2 linked regions of the Caenorhabditis elegans genome follow. Changing the gene in region 1 together with any one later gene gives a genetic interaction. Each region holds a gene or a part of one and is shown on either strand. Other genes may lie near its edges.

Region 1 (5,755 bases):
TGGATCTTCGGGATACGCCGACTGTAGTGCTTCTGAACAATCAACGTCATCACCAAACTCGGCGGGAGTCGTCACAATGGCTACGGCCGCTACGACTACAACACATTTGGATGACCTGGAGCAGATTTGTCCAACTGTAACCACAGGCGAGCTGGTCAATTATCCATGGAGCGATGCATTGGGAATTGATATTAATTTTTCTTGAATATTTCAGACAAGTTTTTTTTTGAAAACTTCTGAAAGTTCGGGTAGTAAGTAGATCGCTACGTCCAAATGTTTTTTTTCACTGTTTCTTCTGAAAGCCCAACATTTTCTGCTCCTACCTCAATTCTAGCCTCTCCCCTGAAACAATTCTCTCTTTATCTCTCTCCAACAATTTTCGAGTGTCCCTTTAGTCCGGTCTTAGTACCTTTTAATCCCCAGCATTTTCTAGTTATTTACCACCTTTTTCTGTATTTTTCTCTTTGTTTTCCAGTATTTCCTCAACAAATCCAAGCGATTGTATTCTTTCATTTCTTGAAACCCTAAGAGTATTTCTACAAATCCAAAAAGTAATTCACTAATTTCAAATTGAAAGTATTCTTCTACAAAAGTATCGTCCCCATTTCTTTACCCATTTTTATCCTCTCCCAGCTTTACCGAGCCAGTTTTCATTCGTTCTTTCAACTTTCATCGATTACCCAATTCGCCGTTGTACTTGAAAAAAAAAATTTCTGAGATTTCAAGCACGAAATTATGATTGTATATGTTGAACACTTCCCCCCATCCCCTGCCCTCTACAATATGCCAAATGTAGCTACCCTTTTTCCCAAACCTGAAGAAATATTTATTCTCTTGTTCATCTCTAAATATCTCTTATCCTTTTTCACTCATCTTTCCAAATTTTCAGTATTGAATGAATTTCTTCCTCTTGATTTCATTTATTATTGATTGATTTATGTTTGTCTCCTTTTTCTGAGCAATAAAAATCATTTAAAAAATTAACTTGTTTTTGATTTCAAAATACATAGATTTGTGGAAATAATATACGTTTAATTAATTTTTTCTGTTCTGTAAATTAAAATTCAGGTAAATACCTAGCAATTTTCTACTATTAATTAGTTATTGGCAGCTGCGGCAAGTGTGTGACACAAATTGAAAAAACTTCCCTAAATAATGTCTCGTAAACAGTCTCGTAAAATATGTATGACATATTACAATTTAACATAACAGTTCAATCCTGGCCTGAAATCAATTTTTGTGCTGGTAGAACAATTGCTCCGTGAATACTGCAATAACCGAGCAGTCGGGAAGCCGCTTTTCTGGAACCTCTTGTTTTTTTTTGCAATGTCATTCTCGGAATTTTGGCACTTTTCTGAAACCTGCTTTAAAAAGTCACACCCTGTTTTTGGCTCCAACAGCTTTGAAAAAAAAACAACCTTCAAATAAATAGTGCATTCTATCATCCGTCCTTCACAACCTCAACTTGTCGGCATGTTTCTTTTTCTCTTTTTTTCTTTATTTTATCTTTCGTTCCAAATATTGGACATCAATTTCCGACATTTCGAAAGTTCTTTTCCCCAATTTATCGCAACTCAAAATCTTCAAAAAGTTCTTCTAAATTACTAAATCACACCGACCTCCAACGACGTTAACGGTCGTCAAACGAACCGGGTAAATTCTAAGATTGGCATCTCGAACACGCGACCGGCGCACGACCGTTTTTTTTGTTTGAATTGCAAAAAAAAAGACGAACCGAGTTGTTTTTTAAGTCGGGAAAGGGATTCAGTAGCACTCCTACATAATGATCGAATTGCAAGCAAGACCAACAGAGTCAATACTGTATAAACATCCTGATTACATGAATTAAAAAAACAAACCCTTAAAAACAAATCGAAACGCATTGATGATCCATGAAAGCTATGCTGATGTAACAAATCCTTCCTCTCCCACCCAAGAAACAAGTTTCATCCGAAGGTTCACCTATGTCAGAAGGTGATATTCTCGTCGTTAGCCATTCTTATCAATTCATTCTTGTTTTCATCCAGTTCCACGACTTCTCCCTTTCAAAAGATTTTCTCTTTCGCATTTTCATTTTATTTATTTCACTTTCGTAAAAGATTCGAAAATGATTTTATTTTTATTTTTATTCCTGTTGTTAGGATTTTGTATCGGTTAGTTTTAAATTCAATATTTAGAGATTACATTGTTAAATTTATGTTTCAAAAAAAATCAGAAACTTTAAAAAATTTGGCAATTTATCAAATACTTTGGCTGAACTTTTTGTGATATCCTAACATTTTTTTAAGTGATGATTTATGAGGAAAAATTGAAAAAAGGGAAAATATTTAGAAAATTTCCAGCACCATTATCGGCCCAATCTCCATCGACTTCCGATGCTCCGGGAGCTTTGTTGTCATCTCTCGTAGGTAAAAGCCATCAAAAACTACCACTGGCTCCATCAATGGAAGCTCTTGAACTGATGGGTGTTCAATTTGTTGATGCTCTCATCAAAAAAGGTCAAATGGAAATGGCAAAAGGAGCATTTAAGACTCAATTAGAAGTTCTAGAGAAAGTACATCCTGATCAATTCGATAAGTACAAAAAGCTAAAAGTTGATGATTTGGCAGCTGATGCAGTTATGCAACAGGCGGAGATGGCAAAATTACAGCCTAAATCAGGTTTTCATTTTACTTTTTCAGTAACTGTTCTGAAAACAAATTTGAATTTCAGGAAATGCATTTATCGATATGTTGAATGGAAATGGAATCCCAATTGGTAGCAGTATTCGTGGATTAGAAGATGCTATCCGAACGCAGAGAGATATGGAAAATACGGATCCGTCCGAACAGGTTGGTGTGAATTCAATTGCAGTTTTAAAAAATATTAGAGAAACTCCCTTTTCCCATTTGTTTGGGTTTTTAATTATTGTTTGCAGAATGATTTTCTTAATTTTATAACTAACAATGTTTCTAATTTAGATTGCCAAAGCCGTAATGGACAAATTTCAAACACAAATTCTCCCAGGACTCGTTGCAAATATGATCGCTGGCAAGAACCCCTTTAAAATGCCTCAACAAATGAGAAAAGCTCAAGCTGCTCCATCGTCAGTGTTCCAACAAGCTCTTGCTCAAAGAGCAATGTTAGGTAAAAATGCCCCAGTTGCCGGTGGAAGAGGTGAAGAACAACGGATGATGATGAATCGAGTGGACCAAAGAATGCAACAAAGAGAACTTCAAGAGGAAGATGAAGATGATGATGATCTTGAGGACGAGGATGTACCCAGAAGAAGAAGTTCGGATGGAGAACCACAAAGTGAAGCAGAGCATCAGAGAAGAGATTTAGCCAGGAGATTGAAAAGTAGTCCTAGATTAAAAGAGCTTTTACAGGTGAATTAGTAATTTCTCAACTGTTTTAAATTTTTTTAGAAAGGAAAAAAAATCCAAAATATTTAAGCTTTATATAAAAGTATTAAGTCTTTTTATATGTATTTAGAGCATATCTGTAAATATAATTTTACAAATACAACAATCATACATAGGTGTTGAGAATCGCCGATATTGATAACTTTCAACAGTCGGTAATACTTCTGCAGCAATTATCAAAAAAATTGCCGAATCTTACTATTTTTAAGTCTATATTTTTTCGGAAACTTCTAAAAAAGTTTTTTGTCATTTTGAAAATTTAATATAATAGGATGCGATTTAGCTAAAGTCTCCTATTTTGTTTGTAAGATGTTAAACCACCATAAAATATTTCGAAAAATTTTTGTGGAGATCGCGAATTGAGAAAAAATCACGTGTATCTTGGAAAATAACTAACAATGACAGTCGTAAGCCTAGTAGGACATTTTGTGCCTGTGTGGTCGCTTTGAAAAAATACCTAATACTTTCAGAATGCGGAAGTTCAATCATTGCTCTCTTACCAACGAATGAGGGATTCTCCACTGAGCAAGCGAAGGCCTTTGGCTATGAACGGTTGGTTTTTGTTTTTTGAATTAGTAGGAACTCTTATCTGTCGACTAAATTTCAGATGAGGATGAAAGTGCATTCCGCGCAATGGAGGCTCGTGCAAAACTAGATCAAAAATCTCAACTTGTGCTCGGTCTCCATGGTTTTGGAGAGTCTGATGATGATGAAGACGAAGAAGATGAAAATTTGATTGATCCATCTGAAAATTCATTCCGTCGTGCACCACTTCGTCTTTCTTCCGGATTCGTTGAGAAATTAAAGTCAAATGATGAATTGAAAAGTGCATTGGACAGAATTAAATATCGAGTTGATGACGTGGAAAAGTATCTTGCTCCAAAGCCGATGGAATTCAATCCAAAACCTCAGCCTGGCTACTTTGCTCCACGTAAAATCCCAACAAGACCACGTAAAATGCTTCCATTATTAATTGGATCTGATCCAAAAGTTCAAGAGGAAATACGAAGACATCCAAGTACCGAATGGAAAATTGCAAAAGAATCAAGAGTTTTGACAAATTTGAAGAATAATCCAAGTCTTGCTGCATTGTTCATGGATGATAAATTAGAGAATACATTGAAAGGAAGGCAAATGTTAACTGATGAACAGAAAGGTAGAACACGTGTCAAAACAATTCGTGCATTACCAAGACTGTTCGGTGCACCAACTGCAAAAGCTGAAATGATTGATGCAAAGGTATAATGAGATTAATTTATTTTGGCAATTTAAATATTTATTTCAGGTATTCCAAGATATTGAAGAACGTCCCATTCCTCCATTGTTCTTTGAACCAAAAGGAAGGCATACGAGATTGAGATGGACTGGAGCAAATGAAAAAGAAATTCCAGGACTTGGTAGGTATTGATTAAAATGTTTTTGTCTTGGTTTTTCTGCAATGTCAGTGAAAACATAGAATGTGTACGAAGAACTATGTTACGTGCCGACAACAGAAATTGATGAGTCAAAACAGAGAGAAAAAACGCCAATCCTTTTCTTATAGGAAGTCGCTTCATTCTCCCATCTCTTGATCCAACTATGCCAGCCTTGAACACGGCTTTCTCGACTCAGGGGCGAGCCCGTGACGAGTGGGATACCATGTTCAAAATCCCGAATAACTGGAATCCTGGAGATGAAGTTGGGTTCAAAATGAACTCAAAAACCAAACGATTCGTTGGAGGAAATGGAGCATTTGATATGCCTGCACTGGGATTGTAGATACATACATTCCAATTAGTAATAATAATAATAATAACAAAATTTAATAACTGTAATAAATTGAAGCTAATAAACTGGTTAGTAAAATAATTTTAATAATTGAGATACTCCATATCTCATTATATTTATTTTTATTGATATTGATAATGAGATCGTGATAAGAAATACAAGTAAAACATTATGACAACATAGTGATAATATATTACAAATAATTGATATTAATGAAATATGTGAAATTTCAGTATTGTATTATTCTTGAGTTTCATTAGCTTCGCCATTTTGTTGAGCAAGAGCCTCTTGTTTCTTCCGTTGCTCCTCGGCTAGCTCTTCCCATTTTTTGGCGTTGTATCTGTGAAAATTAAATTTTTGAGAGATGCTGATAAATTTGCAACTTACTCGCAGCGTTCTCTCATTTTATCGTTTTTCGGGAATATTCGCGCGATTAAGTCGTAGCAGGGCATACAGATCCCACGCATGAAGCCGACCTGGAAAAATGTTTCTTTACCAATTGATTGATACAACTTCCACAAATAATTGAAAATGCTGATATTCTGTTTAATTTTTAAACTCATCTGAACTTAATTTTATGTAGT
Region 2 (4,435 bases), on another chromosome or scaffold:
CGTAATGGTACATCGCTGAATAATACAGTGACGATAGAGCAGGTAATCCAATTAGAGAGCTGGTTTTTGGAAACTTTCGGAAATGTTCTCCTTTATCTCCAGCATCCATTTTCTCCATTTGCAATTGGATTTCATAGTTTCTCATCAACGCTTCCATTTGTCGGGCTTCAAATTTCATTTCAGGAATTGAGAAGCTACCATGAAGCATGGTTCGGAGCAACGGGACTCGCTTGTCTGGATTTCGTTTGTATTTTCGCGTAGCTTCGAATTCAATGACAGATGCATGTTGATACTGACCAATGCTACTATAAAATGGGGAAATTGATTTCAACAAATTTTAATTTAGTTTTTATTAAATACCGTAAAAACTTGTTCATCTTGTCCCACTCGCCGGTGATCTGAAGATGTCGTGTGTAAACTCGGCATGCACTTTTCTGGCCATCCATTATTTTGCAGAATATGTTTTCCTTGAGAGTTCTCTCTAGAAAAATCACAATCTGTAAAGAAAGATAACTTTTTAAAAAATTAGTATCATAGCTGTTCGGACCTTGAAAATTGTATTATTGTCGTACGTGGCAACTGCTTGCTTCAAAAGTTGTGTCTTATCACGTAATGACCTATAGTAATCCAGTGTTACAGTATGCCCTTGAAGCATTCTCTTGATACTAGCCTCGATTGTAAGCGGCTGAAACCGTTCGTGGCGAAGAACCTAGAATCATAATTATCTTCAAAATTCTATATTAAAACTTTAATAGCTAACTTCGTGCTGATCTTTAAGTTTCCGATGTTCTTGTCTCAATCGATTATAATCCAAATCAAGACGTTGTGCTTCACTTGGTAAACTACTTGCACTTGCTTCAGAAACCACAGATGGAGCGGTCTGAATAACTGGCGCCACGTTAACGTTCTCAGCGAATTTCATGTTCAAGAAATCATCTACAATCTTGCCAGAAGCCCGAGGAGAGGTACTGCAAATTACTTATTTATATTCATAAAACAATGTAATTAACTTACTCTGTTATTCGAATATTCGCCTTGTCTGACACAGCAGCAGCTCTTCCGTCAATTTGCAGTGGAACATTTGTGGGAGTTGGCGTTGGGTTCTGCGGTCGGACGTACGGCTTCGGAGTCTCATCGCCACCGAAGAGATTGTCGACGGCTGCTCGAGCTTGAAGCTTTAATTTTCGTGTTAAACACATTGATTTGAGCAATATAATAATTAAGAAACGTGTTAATTTACTTTTTTTTCAATTTTTTAAAAGTAAAACATCTGGTCACGTTTATAGTTTTAAAAGATTTTTTTCGTTTTTTCTTAATATAATAACTACGTTAAAACTTACTTGTTTTGATTGTAAATCATCAAACAATCCGGATGAATTCGAGTCAGATTCATTCCAATAACTGTCTTCCGGAAGTTCAAAAGTGAATTTCCTTCGAAGGGCCATTCTTTATAATATTATCATTTCTTTTGCAAAGTATCTGAAAGAAACTATAAGAATGAGAAAAAATAGATAAAATTTTATGGGAAAATGGGAAAAGAATTCAATAAAAAATAAATGCAGAGAAAAAAAACGCAATTGACATGAAACGAGAAAAAGAGAAGAAAGGCAACTGCGTGCACGCTCCTTGCAAAAACTGCGTGCCAGGATTGCGAAGGCGGGGCTTATGAATGAAGCGCGAGTTTGAATCAAATAAAATTATTTTTTGCTCTTGGCCTAAAGAAAATCGAATTAAAGCTTTAGTTTCTAGTAATTCGTAAAATAATTTTTTTAATCGAAAATAGAACACAAAATTGTCTAGTTATATTAACTTTTAGACCTGATCCGACGTTCGTATGAACTAGAAATCTAGAAGATCACAAAGGCGCGAAATTTTGATTTTAGATTTTTCTGTAACTCGGTGGCGGGAAAATGTGAAATTATATTTTCAATCGTTTTATCATCATTTGGAATCATTTCTGCACTTGTCTTCTGTTGTCTTGTCTTTTCTTTACCCAGTTCCTCATTTTTCTTTATTCAACTTTTTTTTTCAGAATGCAAAACACACAGATATTTACTAACTTCGCTCACAGAGCACATGATGGGTATGTTTATCATTTTTAAATGTTGGTATTAAGTATTTCTTTTTCAGATTACCGTTTAACAGTGCGAATCCTTCCAACAAAGATCCAATTTTCACAATGCCAATATCGGTCAAACCGAAAACTCGTGAGCCGGCTTCTTTCACAGATAACAGGTAAATTTGTCGTGCCGTTTTAATGAATTCATCAAAAAACTTTTAGGATATATGTCAGCAATATTCCCTTCTCGTTTCGTGAACAAGATTTGGCGGCAATGTTCTTCGCGTGAGTTTTCAATTTACAACAAGTTCTGAATAAGAATATTAATTTCAGATATGGAAGAGTCCTGAGTGTGGAAATCGTCACAAATGATCGTGGATCCAAAGGGTTCGGGTTTGTCACACTCGATTCCATCGAATCCTGTGAGAAAGCTCGTGCTGCGCTTCACGAATCACATGTTCAAGGAAGAATTATAGAAGTGAGAAGAGCGACACCAACCCGCAGAAAGCTTATCAACAATCCACAAAATGAAGTTTTGCCACCACCAAAGCTGTGTGTCGATCTTCGAGCCCCTCATAATTTATGGAGAGCTGAGCCAATGCATCAGTTGTTCAAGGAAAAGGAGAACACAACATGTTTTCCCGAAGCTGGATTCATGATGGCACCATACCGTAGCAATGGAATTTTCAACACGCGTAGTCTTGTGCAGACCAAACCACCTCGATGCACCAAGCACAGCGAGCTCAAGCTTTCTTCAGCTGGTGAATACTTCTGCAAAAACGGCGAGCCTACGACGGAAACAAGTATTCTGATGTGCATGCACAGACAAAACTCACCATGCAGCAATAAGTGTTCTGATTCTTCGAATCACGAGCTGTCTGATGTGGAGTTGAACTCTATATTCCCACATCATCTTCGTGACCAGATTACTGCTCTTCTCGACACTTCAAACCATTTTGGATCAGGAAATAATAGTGCTAACAAAGGAAAGAGAGCACCATCTGTGACATCTTCTGGATTGAGATCATCAGAGAGCGAGACAGTTTCAGGTAAATAGTTTAGATTCTAGATTGTCGATTTTCATTTAAAAATCAAATTTTAGACGAAGAGATTCATTGGTCCCCACATAACAGCCCTGATTATCTTCTCGCTGCTCTCTACGAAGGTTCCACATCGTTCCACGGAAAGTCTGTTTCTCCACCAAAAGAATCGTCAAGCCAGTAATCAGTTCAACTGATACGCCCATTTTATTTCTACTAACTGCGTGTTTTGCATTTTATCGAACACCCCTAAACTTTCACTTAACCAAAAAGCTTTAACAAATTTTTTACGGAATCTTCTTGTACAGCGACACTCGTTGTCCTTGTCAAATGATTCGTTGCTAGTTTTTCTTCCCTGTAGCTTCTATATCGACCCCCCCGGTGTTATTTTGTAGGAATGCGTTTCAGCATCTTCCCTATTTTGCCATCTCTCACATACACTCAACATTAGCAATCGGAAAACAGATCTTCTATATTGAAAATATACTACCAGTCCGTTTAACCTACCTCGCTTGCTAACATTATTGAATGTGCCCACGTATTGTATTTTCTGAGCATCTTTCTGTTTTTTTTGTATTTTATAGACGCTGTGTTCGCCAGTTATTTTTGCATTCCTGTATTGCTCGAAGTCAAATGAAGTGCTTCGCCATATTCAATTGTTTTATTTTCAAAATCACCCGTTAATACTAGATTTCAGTTTGAATTTAATCACAGTTGTGAAAGATCATTATCCCGGCGTGTCATTGAGAGATCAAATGTTATCTTTCGGCACCTCTTGGCCTTCCTCCATTCATGATCAGAAGATTCACTCTCTTCTAAAATGACGTCGTGAGAGACTGCGGGAAGAGAAAAGGACGATGGCTGTCGGCACTTTGTGGATGCTGCTGGAAAAGTTTGGTGAATTTTGAAGTTTTGTGGTTTTTGATGATAACTTCAAAATGGATGGGAAAACACGAGAGAGAGAGAGAAACTTACGGATTTGAAGAGTGGGTGGAGAGGAAGGGTACAAACTGCTTCGCTCCTCATCATTTCCTGTGCCACGTCGACTTCGATTTTGACGACTTGAAAGTGTTGCGAAGAAGGACATTCGACGGGATTTCGATCGTCGACAACCACCGCTTACCCAACAAAATAGGCACGAAACAGGAATGAAGATACCTGAAATAAATATGCATTATTAGGCAAACTTGGAATTTTCATAGTTTTTTCCTATAGATTTTGATTTTCTCTAAAATTCCCCAGCGCCTATATTACAGGAACACTATTTACATTTTGAGAATGCGAATTGCACAACATCTGACGCGCAAAATATCTCGTAGCGAAAACTACAGTAATT

What was found. A genetic interaction does not mean that the proteins touch.
Region 2: of osr-1 (region 1) and spn-4, a change in one rescues a mutant of the other (synthetic rescue), as found in Caenorhabditis elegans (one study listed by BioGRID).

The regions. Positions count from the first base shown.
Region 1 is NC_003279.8:5,199,759-5,205,513, reverse strand, and holds osr-1 (TPR_REGION domain-containing protein), read left to right. Parts: upstream 1-2,009; 5' UTR 2,010-2,107; coding exon 2,108-2,153; intron 2,154-2,342; coding exon 2,343-2,660; intron 2,661-2,712; coding exon 2,713-2,831; intron 2,832-2,960; coding exon 2,961-3,368; intron 3,369-3,874; coding exon 3,875-3,956; intron 3,957-4,011; coding exon 4,012-4,643; intron 4,644-4,689; coding exon 4,690-4,801; intron 4,802-4,947; coding exon 4,948-5,162; 3' UTR 5,163-5,255; downstream 5,256-5,755. Other genes in the region: Transcription factor sem-2, read left to right, coding at 1-205; putative 3',5'-cyclic phosphodiesterase pde-5, read right to left, coding at 5,412-5,511, 5,559-5,647.
Region 2 is NC_003283.11:6,782,501-6,786,935, reverse strand, and holds spn-4 (RRM domain-containing protein), read left to right. Parts: upstream 1-2,032; 5' UTR 2,033-2,033; coding exon 2,034-2,083; intron 2,084-2,130; coding exon 2,131-2,235; intron 2,236-2,281; coding exon 2,282-2,344; intron 2,345-2,392; coding exon 2,393-3,108; intron 3,109-3,161; coding exon 3,162-3,283; 3' UTR 3,284-3,749; downstream 3,750-4,435. Other genes in the region: spe-39 (Spermatogenesis-defective protein 39), read right to left, coding at 1-305, 361-497, 548-709, 761-968, 1,015-1,175, 1,341-1,445; ZC404.15 (uncharacterized protein), read right to left, coding at 3,808-3,983, 4,075-4,257.